Medicago truncatula: one gene and its partner. Each later gene encodes a partner of the first gene's protein in a complex. Links are inferred from orthologs where the notes say so. Each region holds a gene or a part of one and is shown in the gene's direction. Other genes may lie near its edges.

What was found.
Region 2: the proteins of NADH dehydrogenase [ubiquinone] 1 beta subcomplex subunit 8, mitochondrial (region 1) and NADH dehydrogenase [ubiquinone] 1 beta subcomplex subunit 7 are in contact, whole or in part, in a cryo-EM structure (PDB 8BEH), measured with the Arabidopsis thaliana proteins. The link is inferred for Medicago truncatula from reciprocal best matches to the Arabidopsis thaliana genes AT5G47570 and AT2G02050. Residues at the interface, in NP_568684.1 of Arabidopsis thaliana: Ser103, Lys104, Val105, Pro106, Phe107, Thr108, Pro109, Arg110, Tyr112, Pro113, Tyr114, Leu117, Glu120, Leu121; in NP_565280.1 of Arabidopsis thaliana: Met10, Ala12, Thr13, Gln14, Met17, Leu24, Gly25, Arg27, Asp28, Met29, Arg69, Met70, Ala72, Met73, Ile76, Arg77.

Annotation. Positions count from the first base shown.
Region 1 is NC_053045.1:49,707,333-49,715,206, forward strand, and holds the start of NADH dehydrogenase [ubiquinone] 1 beta subcomplex subunit 8, mitochondrial, read left to right. Parts: upstream 1-4,669; 5' UTR 4,670-4,751; coding exon 4,752-4,889; intron 4,890-4,981; coding exon 4,982-5,068; intron 5,069-5,150; coding exon 5,151-5,246; intron 5,247-7,874. Other genes in the region: L-lactate dehydrogenase A, read left to right, coding at 1,223-1,831, 2,673-3,116. UniProt on the Arabidopsis thaliana protein: Accessory subunit of the mitochondrial membrane respiratory chain NADH dehydrogenase (Complex I), that is believed not to be involved in catalysis. Complex I functions in the transfer of electrons from NADH to the respiratory chain.
Region 2 is NC_053042.1:54,626,592-54,634,672, reverse strand, and holds NADH dehydrogenase [ubiquinone] 1 beta subcomplex subunit 7, read left to right. Parts: upstream 1-4,968; 5' UTR 4,969-5,085; coding exon 5,086-5,403; 3' UTR 5,404-5,418; intron 5,419-7,689; 3' UTR 7,690-7,946; downstream 7,947-8,081. Other genes in the region: pentatricopeptide repeat-containing protein At5g39350, read left to right, coding at 1-338. UniProt on the Arabidopsis thaliana protein: Accessory subunit of the mitochondrial membrane respiratory chain NADH dehydrogenase (Complex I), that is believed not to be involved in catalysis. Complex I functions in the transfer of electrons from NADH to the respiratory chain.

The DNA of each region.
Region 1 (7,874 bases):
GCGACGGTGAACAAGCTCGCTGGTGGTGGTGGTCAGATATGAAACTATCGAAGGAGGAGATACGTGTGATGGTCGCAGGAGGCGGTGGTGGTCGGATCTGAGAGCATCGGAGGAGAAGAGACTGTGACTGGCGAGTGCTCAGGCGGCGACAGTGAGAATAGTGATGACCGTGGTTGCGGTGGGTGAGATGGATCTTAGAAGAAGGTTGAGAGGTGGTGGTGGTGGGGCTATGAACGAAAATCAGAGCAATGGCCGGAGAGAGGAGCAGCGGTTGGTTGGTGATGGTGGGAGATGAAAGAAAGGAAGCAGTGGGGGGAGGGAGAGAAGAAAGAGAAAGAGGAAAAAGACAAATAAAAAACAAAAAAATACCGTATTCTAATATGGTGTCTGTATTGTGTTTGAAAATTTGTGTCCATTTATCATTCCTGTTAACTAAAATAAAAATTTCAAATTAACTTAATTTACATTAACGTAAATTGAACATAAGAAAACTTAATTTACATTAACCTTGAACATAAGTAAACTTAATTTATATTAACCTAAATTGAACGTAAGTAAACTGAATTTACACTAACCTAAATTGAACATACGTAAACTTGAATTTACATTAACTTACATACGTAAACTACACTAACCCCTTTTATATACATACACGTAAACTTAATTTACACTAACCTCTCACTTAAAATCAAATTGAGAGGCATATCTCATACCAAAACAAACAATAAACAAATAGAAATTCATCGAAAATGAAATTCATGAAATTCGCTAACCTTTATGAATATAGTACAGATCAATAACAAAGATGTTGATTCAGATATTGGTTGCACATCTATGGTGATTTGTGGATAAAAGGAGGTAAGAGTTCAGAATGATCATAAAAGATAAGTTTTTAAAAATTTACATGAAGAGACAATTTTGATATTATTGTAAAATTTTAAATAAATTTAAATATAACATTTTTTTTTTGGTGTGACTAGCACCGGTGCACAAATATCTAAATTCCAAATTGCAAGATCAAATGACAAAAGCACACGTATATAGCCCACTGTTTCAGTGTTATTCGGTCCTACTGTTTTCCAAACCAGTATCTTTTTCTTTTCTTCCCTTCACAGTCCAGTGTGTTACTTCACAGTTCACACACACGTCTCTTTTTCTTCTTTTCGTCTCACAGACCACATACATTTGCTATTCATATACCTGCATCTAACAAATCATCATCATGCACAAGAGCGGTTCTGGTTCGACGTTAGGCCCAGACGGCCTAGATTTAACCCAAGCTTTCTTCAAACCCATCTCAAACGCAGCACCACCATCACCCACTAAGCGTCACAACAAGATCTCCGTCATCGGCGCCGGCAACGTCGGCATGGCCATTGCTCAGACCATCCTAACTCAAGACCTCACAGACGAGCTCGTCATCGTCGACAACAAACCCGACAAACTCCGCGGCGAAATGCTTGATCTTCAACACGCTGCTGCTTTCCTCCCCCGCGTTAAGATCAACTCCTCCGTTGAATATTCTGTCACTGCTGGCTCCGATCTCTGTATTGTCACCGCCGGTGCAAGACAGATCGGTGGCGAGTCTAGGCTTAATCTTCTTCAGAGGAATCTTTCTCTGTTCAAGGCGATTATACCTCCTTTGGCTCGTTACTCGCCGGAAACGGTTCTGATCATCGTGTCTAACCCCGTTGATGTTCTTACCTATATCGCATGGAAGCTTTCTGGGTTTCCTTCTAATCGGGTCATCGGGTCGGGTACCAATTTGGATTCATCTCGGTTTTGCTTCCTCATTGCTGATCACCTCCAGGTCAACGCTCAGGATGTTCAGGTCATTCTCATTTTCTTTTTTCTCTCTATTTTTTTTTTTTTACATTGTCGTGAAGTACTAGATTCTGTTGTGATCTTGCATTATTTTCATGATGACATGTTAGATGATTTGGAGTTATTTAAAGGAGTGAATTACTATTTTCGACCTCTAGGGATCAAACAATTAGTGTCAAATAACAAATTAGTTCCGGTGACACCGAATCAGACATGAAAATTGTTTGAAACTAACACAAACACCAACATATGTTGCCTTTTGGAGTAGAAATTTTTAGAATTCTTTGTTCTCATTGAGACGATGACTTAATTGGTGTCAGTTTGACATAAAAACAAGGGAAAAGAAGTATGCTTAGACCAATTAGATTAGCGTCTCAGCCATAAGAACGAGAAGGACTGCAAAGTTTAACTTCCGAATGATGTCTTCAATCTTCATTAGAGTAGTTTCAAATGATTTTTAAGTAATGGTCCATTGGGGACATAGAACTTGCCAGTTCATGAAATTAAACAACACTATAAATTGCTGAATAGAGATCAATATAAGTTATAAACAAATTATTAGATACATGCTGGAGCTAAATGTCATAACATGTTAACTCAATATTTCTGATCTATTAAACGACAGAATGACTGAATTGATTGACGATCTTTAAGTTCAAGGACTAATTTTCATTTCGTGTAATTTGGGACCAATTGTCTAGTATTTACAATTTTGAGGATGATCTAAATGTTTATTAATTCAATGTTGTTTGGAATGAAAAATAAAAGTGATGACTTTTTGATGATTTCTGTGGTCACTATAGAAAGGGAGAAAGTTTGAAGTGTGAAATAAAGTGTTATTGGTGCAGGCATGCATAGTAGGGGAGCATGGGGATAGTTCAGTAGCATTGTGGTCTAGTATCAGCATTGGTGGTATTCCCGTGCTGAGTTTTTTGGAGAAACAACAGATTGCATATGAGAAAGAAACACTGGAGAATATACACAAGACTGTGATAAACAGCGCTTATGAAGTCATCAGTCTAAAAGGCTACACTTCATGGGCCATTGGGTACTCGGTTGCTAGCTTGGCGCGGTCCATTATCAGGGATCAAAGGAAGATTCACCCTGTGTCTGTTTTAGCTAAGGGCTTTTATGGCATAGGTGATGTTGAAGTGTTTTTGAGCTTGCCAGCACAGCTTGGAAGAGGAGGGGTGCTTGGTGTAACGAATGTGCACATGAATAAAGAGGAGGAACAAAGGCTTAGGGATTCTGCTAAAACTATCTTAGAGGTTCAGACTCAGTTGGGTATTTAATTGTGTCCATCCAACAGACTCACTAACTATGGTTTTGTTAGTCTTTTACATTTCCCATGGTGTTCTTCCACTGCAAGTGTTTTTTGCTTAGTACTTGCTTGCATCCAAAATGGTCGCTGAATTCAGATCTTGTAATATGTGTGTGCTTTGTAGTATATGATTTTACCAGTCAAATTTCAAGTTCTTTGTAATAATATTACTCTTTGTTCCTCTTGTTAGTTCACCACGCAGGGTAGTTTAATGCAAGAGTGAAACATAAATTTTGTTCGTTGGACTTGACTTCTACAATATCGTTAAGGTAAAGAAAGGAATTATATTTATTAATGAACATAAATAAACTAGAGTAATTTCAATAATTTATTATAGATGAAAATATGGATGGCAATATTACGCTTATCCAAAAAGAAAAAAGGATGATAATGTTCCAATTCTGATTACTCATTTGAAGTATATTTTACCATATTGTCTCGTTATGGAATAGAGTGAAAAATGTAAACTATGTTTTCTCTATTGGTAAAGAGAGTGTGGTATTTTATTTTTGACAGCCATAAAGTTTATTTTGGAAATGGTTAAATATATCACTGTTCCAAGCTTAAGTAATGCCAAGAGTAAAACGAGAGTTATGCATATCAGTGTCTTCTACACCAATCAAGCTGCCCAAGACACGAGAACACAAACAAAATTAACCATAGCACACATATGCCACCATCCAATTGAATTAGGAGAATAATTGACTAAATACAAATAATTGATTGAGCCAAAACCAGGAACACTAGTTTCTATTTTTTTTTAATAGCAGCTGTGTAGATTCCATAAACTCCGTACAAGTTGCCTAAGCCACATAGACCCTATTATTATTTTTCCTCATACATTCCTTCAATCTCATGCTACTTCCTCTAAATGATTGTAACAACTAGCCAAATCAAGCTGCCTAAACATAAGAGAAAAACCAGACAGCAACTCAAACTATTAAAAGCAGACAGAAAACCATAATTTACTCCCTATCACTCTCCATTGTCCTCCCTGCAGACACGTCATTGCTAGAATAATTAAAACCAGACCTTTGTTTTCATCTTGCACCACGAAGTAATTTTAATCTAATGATATCATGGTGTTACAAAGAGGGTGAAAAAAAAATGAGATATAGCACAAATTTGGCATTTTATAATTTTCAAATTTTTGTAGTGCAATATTTGTCCTTTTACTATCCATTTTGATTGATTGATTAATTGTATAAATTATGCCGTTACTTGTTCGTATGTAGAATTGTCGTAGTTCTCCGCATTCTTGAACATTAAATAATTAAATGTATGCACTATCAAATTTATTTATTTACACAATAAATCTAGTCATTAAACACTTCATTTTCTCGTTCACGGTAAGAAAAAGATACTTTACAAAGGAGAAGGGGTGTAGAAAGAAATCAAAAAATGTAGTAGCAAGCCCAACTTACAATAAAGGGTAGAAAATCCAACCCACTTTAATTATAAAAAAAATAAAATAAGAAAAGGGATATTTTTTTCCAAAACGAAGTCGTTTGGCCTGTGATTGCAGTAACATAAACATTACGCAATAATCAAACAGAAATTAAACAAAGAAGGAAGAGGAAAAAGAAGAAGAATCGAAGCAATAACCATGGCAGGTAGATTGACAAACGTAGCATCACAAATCTTAGGCGGAAACGGCGTCGTTCACCGATCTGTAGCTTCATCTCTCCGCCTTCGCTCCGGCATGGGTCTCCCCGTCGGCAAACACTACGTCCCTAACAAACCCGTTCGTTTCTCTTAACCTAACCTATTCAATTCAATTTTCTTAGAATCACGAAAATTAACCTCAATTTTCGAATTCTGGTGATGTTTTTTCAGCTTCCGATGAATGAAGAACTTACATGGGACAATGGTACTCCATTTCCTGAACCTTGTATAGATCGCATTGCTGATACTGTTGGAAAGGTAACTACTTTTCACCATTTAGGATATAAGTGTTGTAATGTGAAATATGCATCAAGTTGATGAATTTTTGGTTTGAAATTAGTATGAAGCATTGGCGTGGCTTTGTGGAGGATTGAGCTGTTTTGCGGGTTTGGGATTATTGGCTGTGTGGAATGATAAAGCTTCCAAGACACCATTTGTAAGTTAACTTGCTCGCTCTTGATTTTTGGGATTTGGTTCCATTTTGTTATGTATTTTCTTATTCTATTTAGATCCTTTGGGTGCACTGTATATGGTTAATTTGTTATCATTCTCTGATAGTGGCATTGGTATGAAGTGATTGACATCGAAAAGCTTTATTAATGAATATGATATAAGAGATAGAATTTGTGCTAGACATATAGACATGCTCCCAAGTAAAAAATATAATGTTAAATTAATGAGTTTTATAAAAGTTATCAAAGTCATGGCCTAAAGGCACAATTTCCATATACCAAAAGTAAAAGGAAAATGATGGAGTTAAAAAAGAGGGTGCAAGTTTGAAGAACTTAACACAACTTAGAAACAAAAATTTAACCAATATTGTCAACGGAAGAATGTCAAAAACCTGCCATATAAGCATGCCATTGCGGCCGTTGGCACCATCATGACGGGCACCCCTTCACTGGCTTCACATATTTGCTTATGGAGGTTGACAAAAAATCCACCATCACCATGCGATTCCTCCATGGCCACCATTTAACAACACTGAATTTAACAGAGACATGTGTGAGTGGAGGTTTATGGGTGAATAATGAGTAAGTAGTGTTCCACAAGTAATAGGTGTGCTGAAACAGGGGGAATGAATGAACAGAGACCTTTGGTGGAAAACACTGCTTGGCTAGAAGCGATGCCGATGAGTAGTTGGTTATTGGTTGGTTTGAAACAAAGGTCAGCTCAGCTTAGCACAAAGGATGGGTGAATGGTTGGGTTGAAGGGTTTCAAACTCTTATGTTTCTGGTGCCTAAAATCGAGGGATATCAATAAAGTGTAAAATTAGGATTGGGAAACTCAGATAGTAGTTGAAATATATGTATTTTTACTTGTGTTCAATTTTGCGCTACAATGCGATGGACACCTTACATTGGCCTTGGGTAGGTTGGGGTTTCCACTCCAGCACTATAGTGGATTCCATGGGTGCCATTAACTAGTCTTTTATCTTGTAGGTGGGGCACCTTGTTTGATGCACACTCATAGAAGTTCAATATGTTGAGTTACAACACAACTTTTTAATTTGTTCACTATTTGGTGGTTGATGCACAATGCACATGATTGTTGTTTCAGGTGAGGGAAAAGGTAGAATGGATTGAGGAATAAGGGTTTGGGGGAGTGAAGGAGACTTAAGAAAGTGAGCAATTAAGATAAGGATTTTTCTAAGATAATATTTTGTGTGAGACAAAACCTTGTCCCCTGAATAATCAAGTAACAAATTTTATTTTATTTTGTCATGTGTTTCATCTTTTGTTTTCTTCTGTCTCCTGACTAATCCTAAAATAAAACATGGAACAAGTATTATTGTTTTATCTTCATTATTTAGAAAATCAAATGCATCCCAAGGTTGTCAAATTCCTAGGTTTTACCTAGGACTGACTGGAAAAACAGTAGACATGTAAAATAGGATATCTTAATTCTTAACGTAGAAGGTGCAATCTAGCCTATCATACACAAGAGTTTGTAAGAATAAGAGTTTCAAGCTGGAGATTGTAATCAATGAAAATGAGAGATACATATTATTTATATAACGATTTGCATATTTATTTATTCTAAGTAGTAGGTGAGCGCACTCTTATGTCGTAATCATGCCTCACAATGGCACCTGAATTTATGCTGTAGAACTTAAAGTGACTTGCTGTGATAGTGAATGATAATCTTTTCTCAACTACCATTTCAACCATTGGTTGTTAAGAGTGTGATCTAGATTGTGAGATTGTAAGATTTAATGTGTTTTTCTCCCTCCATTGGGAGCGGCATAAAAATTGTTAGAGAGGCCGGAGCAGTGAGCGCGCAGAGGAAGATCGTGGAATCGAGGGAGCAATGCTTTCTCTCATGCTGGTTTCACACATTCTCGACCCGATTCTCACGTGGTGACCCGAGTGAACAGTTTTTGACCCGCAACAACATGCACATTTACAACCCGGTTCCACACGTTTTTGATTCAGAAGTTGACCCGGTTCTCATTGCAAAGAGGGATACACTGAACATACACTTTTTTTGGGACAGTGTGGGTTTTAATTGAGTAATTACTTCCCAATTTGGGAACTTCTCATCTATGCAATGCAACTGTCATCTTTGCAATTATCATTCCGTGGTGGGAATTAATAAAAAAAATTCTATTGTTGATGTTTAGGTCAAACTCTCATCTTTTCTTTATGATTAAGTCAATAAAAAAATTGTCTTTTTTTTAGGATAATTATGTTAAGTTTATTTTTCTTAGTTATTTCTATAATTTTGTCTCTTTGATGGGATCTTACGATCCTACAACCTACGCTCTTTTTATACCCAAATGAAGTTTGACAACCATAATTCCAAATAACGTGTCCCTTAAAGCATCCACCAGCCCAGGTAAGAAATGTATTATTGCAGCACTGAGAAGCGCAAGGCCCTGTAAGCAAGAGAATTGCAACATCCAGTCCTCCCAGCACCTAAGTAGCAGCTCTACAATCTGGACATTGACCTGGGAATTGTAAAACTAAATTTCAAACTTTCAGTCGAGCTCATTGCAATACGTAGCAACCAAAGGCAGATATTTTGTTTTGTCGGTTCAGTCTCTCTATAGCATAGTTGAAAC
Region 2 (8,081 bases), on another chromosome or scaffold:
TTGATCATTATACATGCATAGTGGATCTTCTTGGCCGTGCTGGTCGACTGAATGATGCTTACAATCTTATTAGAACCATGCCTATTACACACAACCATGCCGTATGGGGTGCACTACTTGGCGCCTGTGTGATACATGAAAATGTTGAACTGGGAGAGATAGCTGCTAGGTGGACTTTTGAGCTTGAACCAGAAAACACGGGAAATTATGTTCTGTTAGCAAAACTTTATGCTGCTGTAGGAAGGTGGAGAGATGCAGAGAGAGTCAGGAATATGGTAAATGAGGTTGGACTACGAAAAACACCTGCTAACAGCTTAGTTGAGGTTAGCAATATGTGAACTGGACGTGTTCTTATAGAGTGTGATGTCAAGTTAACAACATTAGCCACAAACATGAAAGTTCTATCGAAAATGGGTTGAGGCATTTCCTTCATAGAGGGAGAAGTGCCTATTACTTGTTGGCTGCCATTGTGTTAATTATGATGGAGATAAATGGTGGTCTTGTAGGAAACACGTAACTTTAATTATATTTGACAGCATGGAGTTCCAAGGTGGTGAACTGGGATCCAATTTCCCTGAATGCACTTTGTTACTACCCAATTGCCAATACTGACTACCGGTGTTTTTCTCACACATTCATTATCTTACAAGTTTCTCGATTGCTAATGCCATGTTTGCGGTTTCACCGAAACAGTTTTCCAAGTTTTAAGGTTGTCAAATCATTGTGCGCCACTTAGTCCTTCCACAACCACTTACTCTCACATTCTCTTTATGAGTAGTTGGATTTTGTTGCTACTTCTAGTTGGTTTATGGAATCACTGAACAAGATATGATGATTGTATGTTCCTTGTCATTGACTAGTTTCTATGGAACTCATAATGAATTCATTTTGATGACAAGCGTGTTCTGTTCCCAGATATCCAAAAATTACATAGTAACGCTTTGAAGATGCATGTATCCGAGCTGATACTGCAGTGTGAAATATCAATGGAATTTCAGTTTGTAAGATATGTTGAATACTTGAGTTGGATGAAATCCCATGTTCATAGTTTAAGAATGTTGAATGTTATTGTTGAATTGGTTCCTTACAAACTTTGCGCCAAGTTGAGAAAGGAGTTGAGTAAACCCATCTATCGGGTTGTAATCTTTGATATTTGTTTACTACATTAGGCTCAGCTCCAAGTTCAATGTGTTACACAAACGGGGTATAAATTGCAATAATTGAAATTTTTATGCCTACCTGAGGCTGATGTCATTTAACCAATAGTGTGATTTATCCACATATTGGAGGCATATTCCATTAAGATCAATACCTTAATTAATTCACATGGATCTAACCTTTCTACCAAGGAGAGCATGGCTTTCTGAAACGGCGGTGTCAGTCACTGGTATATTGACAATGAAGTGTTAACAGGCATGGTGTAAGTGATGGGAAATTACCAAGTATATATGAGTTGAATGCAACCGGAAAGGTTAGTGTCATTTGCTTTCTCTCATCAGATATTTATATCATTTTTATTACAAAAATATGTTCTGTAAGAAATATTTGTACTCTGTGAAGGCATACCTCCTTTGAACCCTACTACCCTTATGTAACTTTTATAGTTGTACAAAAATGATATCATACTTTGTTATTCATAGACTGCTACAACTACAAGAGCAGTTTAGATAAGAGTGACATATATTGTCTGATAAGTTGGACATTCTTGAAATCCTTATGTACACAAATGCATTAATGAATCCATTTTAAAATTGTTGTCAAATAAGATTGAAATTTTCTTTATATATTTTTTTGATTAAATAATTTTTATTTGAATAAACAGACTTTTGCGAATTTTTGTTGATTCTAAAATTTTCCATCCAACATAGTTTGATTTTATCCCTGCAGTCATGCTAGAAATAGTTTTTTCTTCTCCCTTCATTAACAGAGTTTATGATTATGATTGAGGCAATAATCATAAACTCTGCAGTCAGTCATTGTGCTTCCTATATCAAAAGCTGATTTCCATAATTTGAATTTTATCTCTGCAGTCAGTCATGTTTGAGCTCTAATGTTCGTCTACTCCTATGGTACATAACTACATATGCTTTCAATATGTGTTATCCAAGGTTGTATGCTACTATGCTCATCTAATAACCCAGCTTGTAAACTGCTTCACAAGTTTTCTCTAAAATGTTAATCAAGATTTGTTCTTCGCTGAAAAGAAAACAATTTTACGAAGGAGGCGATAGCAACACTTTCACTGAGTTCCGATGTATAAAATATTTTTACATGCTACCAAGTAAAATCAAATTGGAAGACAAACCAAACAGGAGGATCAAACAACAATTTATCAAGAGAGACAAGCACTTTTTGGGGTTGAAAAGCCGTGTCACTTTTTTTTATTATGAATTCAATTTGTGTCACTCTAATACCAATAACAGAATTGTTGGCAGTTGCTTGCAACATGCCCTAAAGTTAATATGTTTGCTAATGGTTAGTGTAGTTGAGATTCGTACTCAACTCAACTTCATAATTGATATAGGTCTATGACATTGCGATAAATAATCCACATATATGAGTACAATTGCAATAAGTGGTAAAGCCAGAGATTTGTTAGTAGTGGGAATAACTAAGAGACACTAAGGAGTAAGGGGCCAATAACAAAAAACATATCATATAAATGACTCATTATTTCACGTGTAATAAACAAATATACAAAAGGAAAAAAAAAAAAAAAAAAAAAAAGGCTAAATTACATTTTTGGTCCCTTAACTATTTAGGTAGTATCGCTTTGGTCCCTTAAGTAAAATTCGATTTATTTTGGTCCCTTAACTTCTCTCAGTTACACATTTTGGTCCCTTAACTTCTCTCAGTTACACATTTTGGTCATTTCAATTAGTTTTAATTCAAAAACGTTAGGTTTTATTCATTTTCTTCTGAAATTTTTCTGGGATTCTTGTTGTTGAAGGTTGATGGAGATGATATGAAGATGAAAAAGAAGAGAAGAAGATGAAGAAAATCTAACGTTTTTGAATTAAAACTAACGAAAAAAACTAAAATGTGTAACAGAGAGAAATCAAGGGACCAAAATAAATCGGATTTTAATTAAGGGACCAAAGTGATACTACCTAAATAGTTAAGGGACCAAAAATGCAATTTAGCAACAAAAAAAAAAATGAAATAGTACCATATTTGAAGGCCATGGCTCTCCGTTCTATCTATCTCTTCAATTTCCATTCTCTATAAAAAATAAAAATAAAAAATAAAAAACTACATTTGTTCTTTCATACCTTCTCTTGCACTTGAAGGAGATGATCCATTTCAGAGAATTAGAATTGATGGATTGAGAGGGTTTCATGCAATCTACTTAGATGACCACACGTACGACTATAATACAATCAACATCATAAAAAATTATTGGCATCTGGTAAAAAAAAATTGGTGAACTATTGGCACCTTGTATGTGAAGTGGATTTTGTGTCAAGAAAATTTGAAGCCCAACCTAATTTTTTAGCAAGATAAACTTCATCTTATATTTTAACTTTTGTACTTTTACATTATAGGAGAGATGCGATATTGAATAGTTTTTGACCTTCAATCACCTCTATATATTGTTTTTTCTCTCATTTTATCTGAATAAGTGTTATTCACATGGACTTGAGTTATTTTTGTGATTTCGTTGTCTGATTATAACATTGTTGTTTTGTTCGTCGTCTACTGCAGCATAGTTTAATCCCTCCTTTTTAGAGTTGGGGCTCGGGAAGGGGCAAAATTGCTCAATATGAAAGAGACATTCTAAGCACTATCAAACTAGAATTCTTTAGTCTTGTTGCGGTGTTTGTTTCCTTCATATTGCTAGATCAATTTCGACTCAAAATAGATTCAACCTATGTTGACTTGACCATTAACACTACAAATTCAGAGGCATGGATACTTCAACCACTTTAATTTTATCACTTTTGCAGGCACTTTTGTGGTATTATGCTACTAACTTGAATGTTGAATTTGTTTGCAAATTCAGTTTTTTTTTTTTTTTAAGAAGCTAAACTAACCCCTTCAAATTGACACCAGAGAGAATCGAACCTGAAACCTTAAGGATGAGCACACTCTCAGGTTTCAAGTCAATACCACTATAAACTTGTATTATATTTGATATAATCTACTGATTTTTTTTTTTGGTTACATAACCTTATTTTTAGTAAAAAAAACAAAACAAAACATAAATGGCCAAAATGATTTTTTTCTTCTTGCTGATAACCAAAATGAATTTTATGTAAAATATAAAATTGGGAAAAAAAATATTTTAACAGTTTTTGACAACTTATTATATTATAGTATATTGTTAATAATATCAACAACAATATACCAAAAAAAAATTATCAACAACAAAAGTTGGCAGAAATCTAAAAACGTTTAGCCATAAAAAAAAGATTAAGAGCCCTTTTGAATTGACTTATTTTTGAACTTATTAAAAATAAATTATGCAAATAAATAAGCTTTCATGTTAATTTATTAGTTTTTATTAACGAAAATTGTATCTTCATAACCTGTTTTTTTATAAACTACATTGACAAACTTATAAATAATATAAAAAACTCATTTATTTGCATAAACTATTTTATATAAACTCAAAATAAGCCTTATCTAAACTGACCTTAAATATGTTTTTAGTCCTTACAAAATCATAAATTTTAAGTTTAGTCCCTATAAAATTTTAATGGTAATTTTAGTCTTCATGATAATGTAATTTGTAAAAATAATCGATATTTTAAAAACTTTTTAGAAAAAAATGGACACATTTAGTTCTCAAAAATAGTCCAAATAAGGACTAAAAATGAATAAATTTTTTGCATGGACTAAACTTGCAAGCTTGTAATTTTGTAGGACTAGAAACATTTTTCTTTTTTTTAAAAACATACTTAACATGAAAAAATAAAAAAAAAATTGTTTTAAAGAAAATGAAATAATATTTATCTGACTGAAGAACAATAATAATAATACCCTGCGGCTGGGAATTTTTCATTTCAATTCGAAGCAAAGCAAAGCAATTAGAGAATCCAATCAACAATTATATTGGTAGAGTTGAAATCTCGCGAATCGAAGATGGAATTTGAAGGATCATCGAAGAAGATGATTGCAACACAAGAGGAGATGGTGGAAGCTAGGGTTCCATTGGCTTACAGAGATCAATGCGCTCATTTGCTCATCCCTCTCAACAAATGCAGACAAGCTGAATTCTATCTTCCATGGAAGTGCGAGAATGAACGCCACTCTTATGAAAAGTGCGAGTACGAACTCGTCATGGAGAGAATGCTTCAGATGCAGAAGATCCGCGAAAATCAAAATGCTAATTCCAAACAACCCGTTACCCAGGGTCAGGGTGCTGCTATTCCTCTCATCCCTAAACCCGCCAATGCTTGATCCCTCTCTCGTTATGTAAGCTTCTTTCTCCTTTCAATTGGAATTGAGGTTTTTTATTTTTTATGTTTGATTAATTAGATTTCGCTGTTAGGAAATTGATGTTTTTTATTTTATGGGTGATAAATTTGTGTATATTCCTTTTGTTTTGTTGTATTGATAAATTAGGGTTTTGCTTAATTAGTTTTGGGGCATTTTCTTAGAACTGTATAGTTTTGAATGGTAATTGGGTTTGTGAGCTCAGAACCGGTAGTGTGCTTTATAAATAGCAAAGACAAACTATGAGTTTTGTTCTGCTTCGTACAAAGGAATTGTGTGGTTCAAAGTATCATTGTTTTGCCTCGAATCATAACCGAAATGGTAACTTTTCTAATTGTCCATTATCTTGTTTTAATTTTATAGTTTGTGTCTCTTACGGGGCGTGAGGAATGGTGTGTGGGTGGGGTGGGTGTTAATGGTCCCACATTGAATGTGAAGTGGCCTCAAAATGTTGTCATATGTCTTGGGTAGTCCTCATCTTCAAAGCCAGTTTTGTAAGGGTTAAGTTATGCTTGACCCAGATTTTAAGAGTTGTGTTGTTCTTTTGAAATGGCATATGCTATAATGCCCTCATACGTGTCTGATAAATTGTGATTGGTCTGTTGTGGCTGCCATCATCAGAGCGTTATGTCACTTGTGTGTAAACATTTGAAAGAGGGCTATAAAGATGGATTTGTTAAAGTGTATGTCAGTTCTTATCTTTTGAAAAAGCCCTGGTTCTTTGACGAGTGTTGGAATCATAACATTGGTAGCATGAAGAATAGGTCTTAGATGAATTAACCACGTCTCAATAATTTCCGCTTTGTAGAGCCTGGAATCAAGTTTCTTGAGACTGTTCTTCGGTTGATATGCGCTTTGGTTGACCACAATGATTTTGTGCAAACTTGTGATTTGCCTCCAATATTGTTTGTTTATGGTTCTGTTTTAATTGTAGCCATTGCAGACATCACTTGTCCAATATTGTTTGTTGGTTTGTGGTTAATAAGCTCTATAAATAGAGCATTGGTGTATCTCACAGATTATCTTTGATAATATGTTCCCATTTGGTTTTTTATCTCTTTCTCCAAGCTTCCTTGTTACAATACTTTCTTCATCCTCAGATTCCTAAAATGGCTTGAAAGGGAATGCAAATTGCGAACAGGGGAATCCATTCCTCAGTGTAAACCCGTTGCTTTTTGGGCAATGTTAACCTTGTCTAACCCTGGGGTATATGTAAATATATTTTAGGTGGACTGGACATTAATTGATTTTAGTTAATATAAATTATAGTCAGTCCCGTGGCTGAAAAGTAATATGAGAGCCCTGCCTTTTGAGCAATGCAAGTAGTTATGTTTAGGCACTTGGGCTTGATTACGAGCAATAATGTGATAAGTATCTAAGAACTTGGGGAACCCACCCACCCTTACAAACTAGCCATCAAGCATCCCATACTACTCAATGTGGCCATGTGGGACTTAGGCACCCCATAATACCCAAGTCCCTATCATTGTGCTCCAGGCAGATGAGATCCAATGCTGGCTTTGAGGAATAAAAGTGCCATTTTGAACTGTATATACAAAATATTATGATGTCTTTGTTTGGACTATAGGAGAACATTATATTGAGAGGTAAAACAATTATTTGTTGAAACAAACGTTGATGAATTTGTACTTGTATACTCAAGCTTTATTATTAATTGCACCAAAAAAATGTAAGGATATCACCCAATTCATTTGCTTTAAATTTGATGGTAGGCCTCGAATGAAGTTCTACCTTCCCTCCTCTTCTCTCCCAAACTCTCCATCCAAACATACCTTAAAACCTCAACTTTAAAAGCTGTGAGTGGTAGCAGAAATTAAAGTATTTTCAAAACAAATAAATAATTATTTGCCACAAAATACTGCAATGAATAGGTGACTTGAGGATACTGCAGAATCTGTAAATCTGTTTGTCACTTGTATTTCTGCAGCTTGAAGGTAATATTTAATTATTTATGAATGTGCTTTCTACTGGACTGTTTGATGAATTGGTAACTTTGATGATATATAGGCTCTTTCTGCACTATACGTGATAAAAAATGAATCTTTTTATTTTTAAATTTTAATGTTTTGCAAGCTTAATAGTTGGTATAAGCCAGGAGGTCTCAGTTTTTAAGCATGGTGTCCACCTTGGTTTAAGTGTGTTATTTTCCTGTTCTTCATGGTGTCCACCTTGGTTTAAGTGCATTTCCTGATTGCTTTCTGATCCATGTTATGTTATATTTGGATGCAGTTAAACTTTTGGCAGGAATCTTTGCTTGTGTGGGATGTTCTTTCATGTTTTTCTATTTTTTGGATTCAAAGTTGCCTTGGAATGTTTGTCCAGAGACTTATACAGACTGATTTTCTTGCTATTTTCCCTGTGGTAAACCATGTTTGTACTTGAAGAAATAAAATCTCATAAAGGGAATCACGATTGCGTTCATGAATCCACATATTTTGCTTCCATTAGTCACAATAGTAGTTGAAAATATATATAATACTTGGTTATAGGATCTGGATCTGATTTTAGAACTTGTACCTAGTTTATCGAACTATTCAATCTGGCGGTTGAATGATGAGGTTTAAAGGTTAGTCCAATGTTGCCTGCTACTACGGTGTCGATTTAGTATTTTTTTTTTTTTA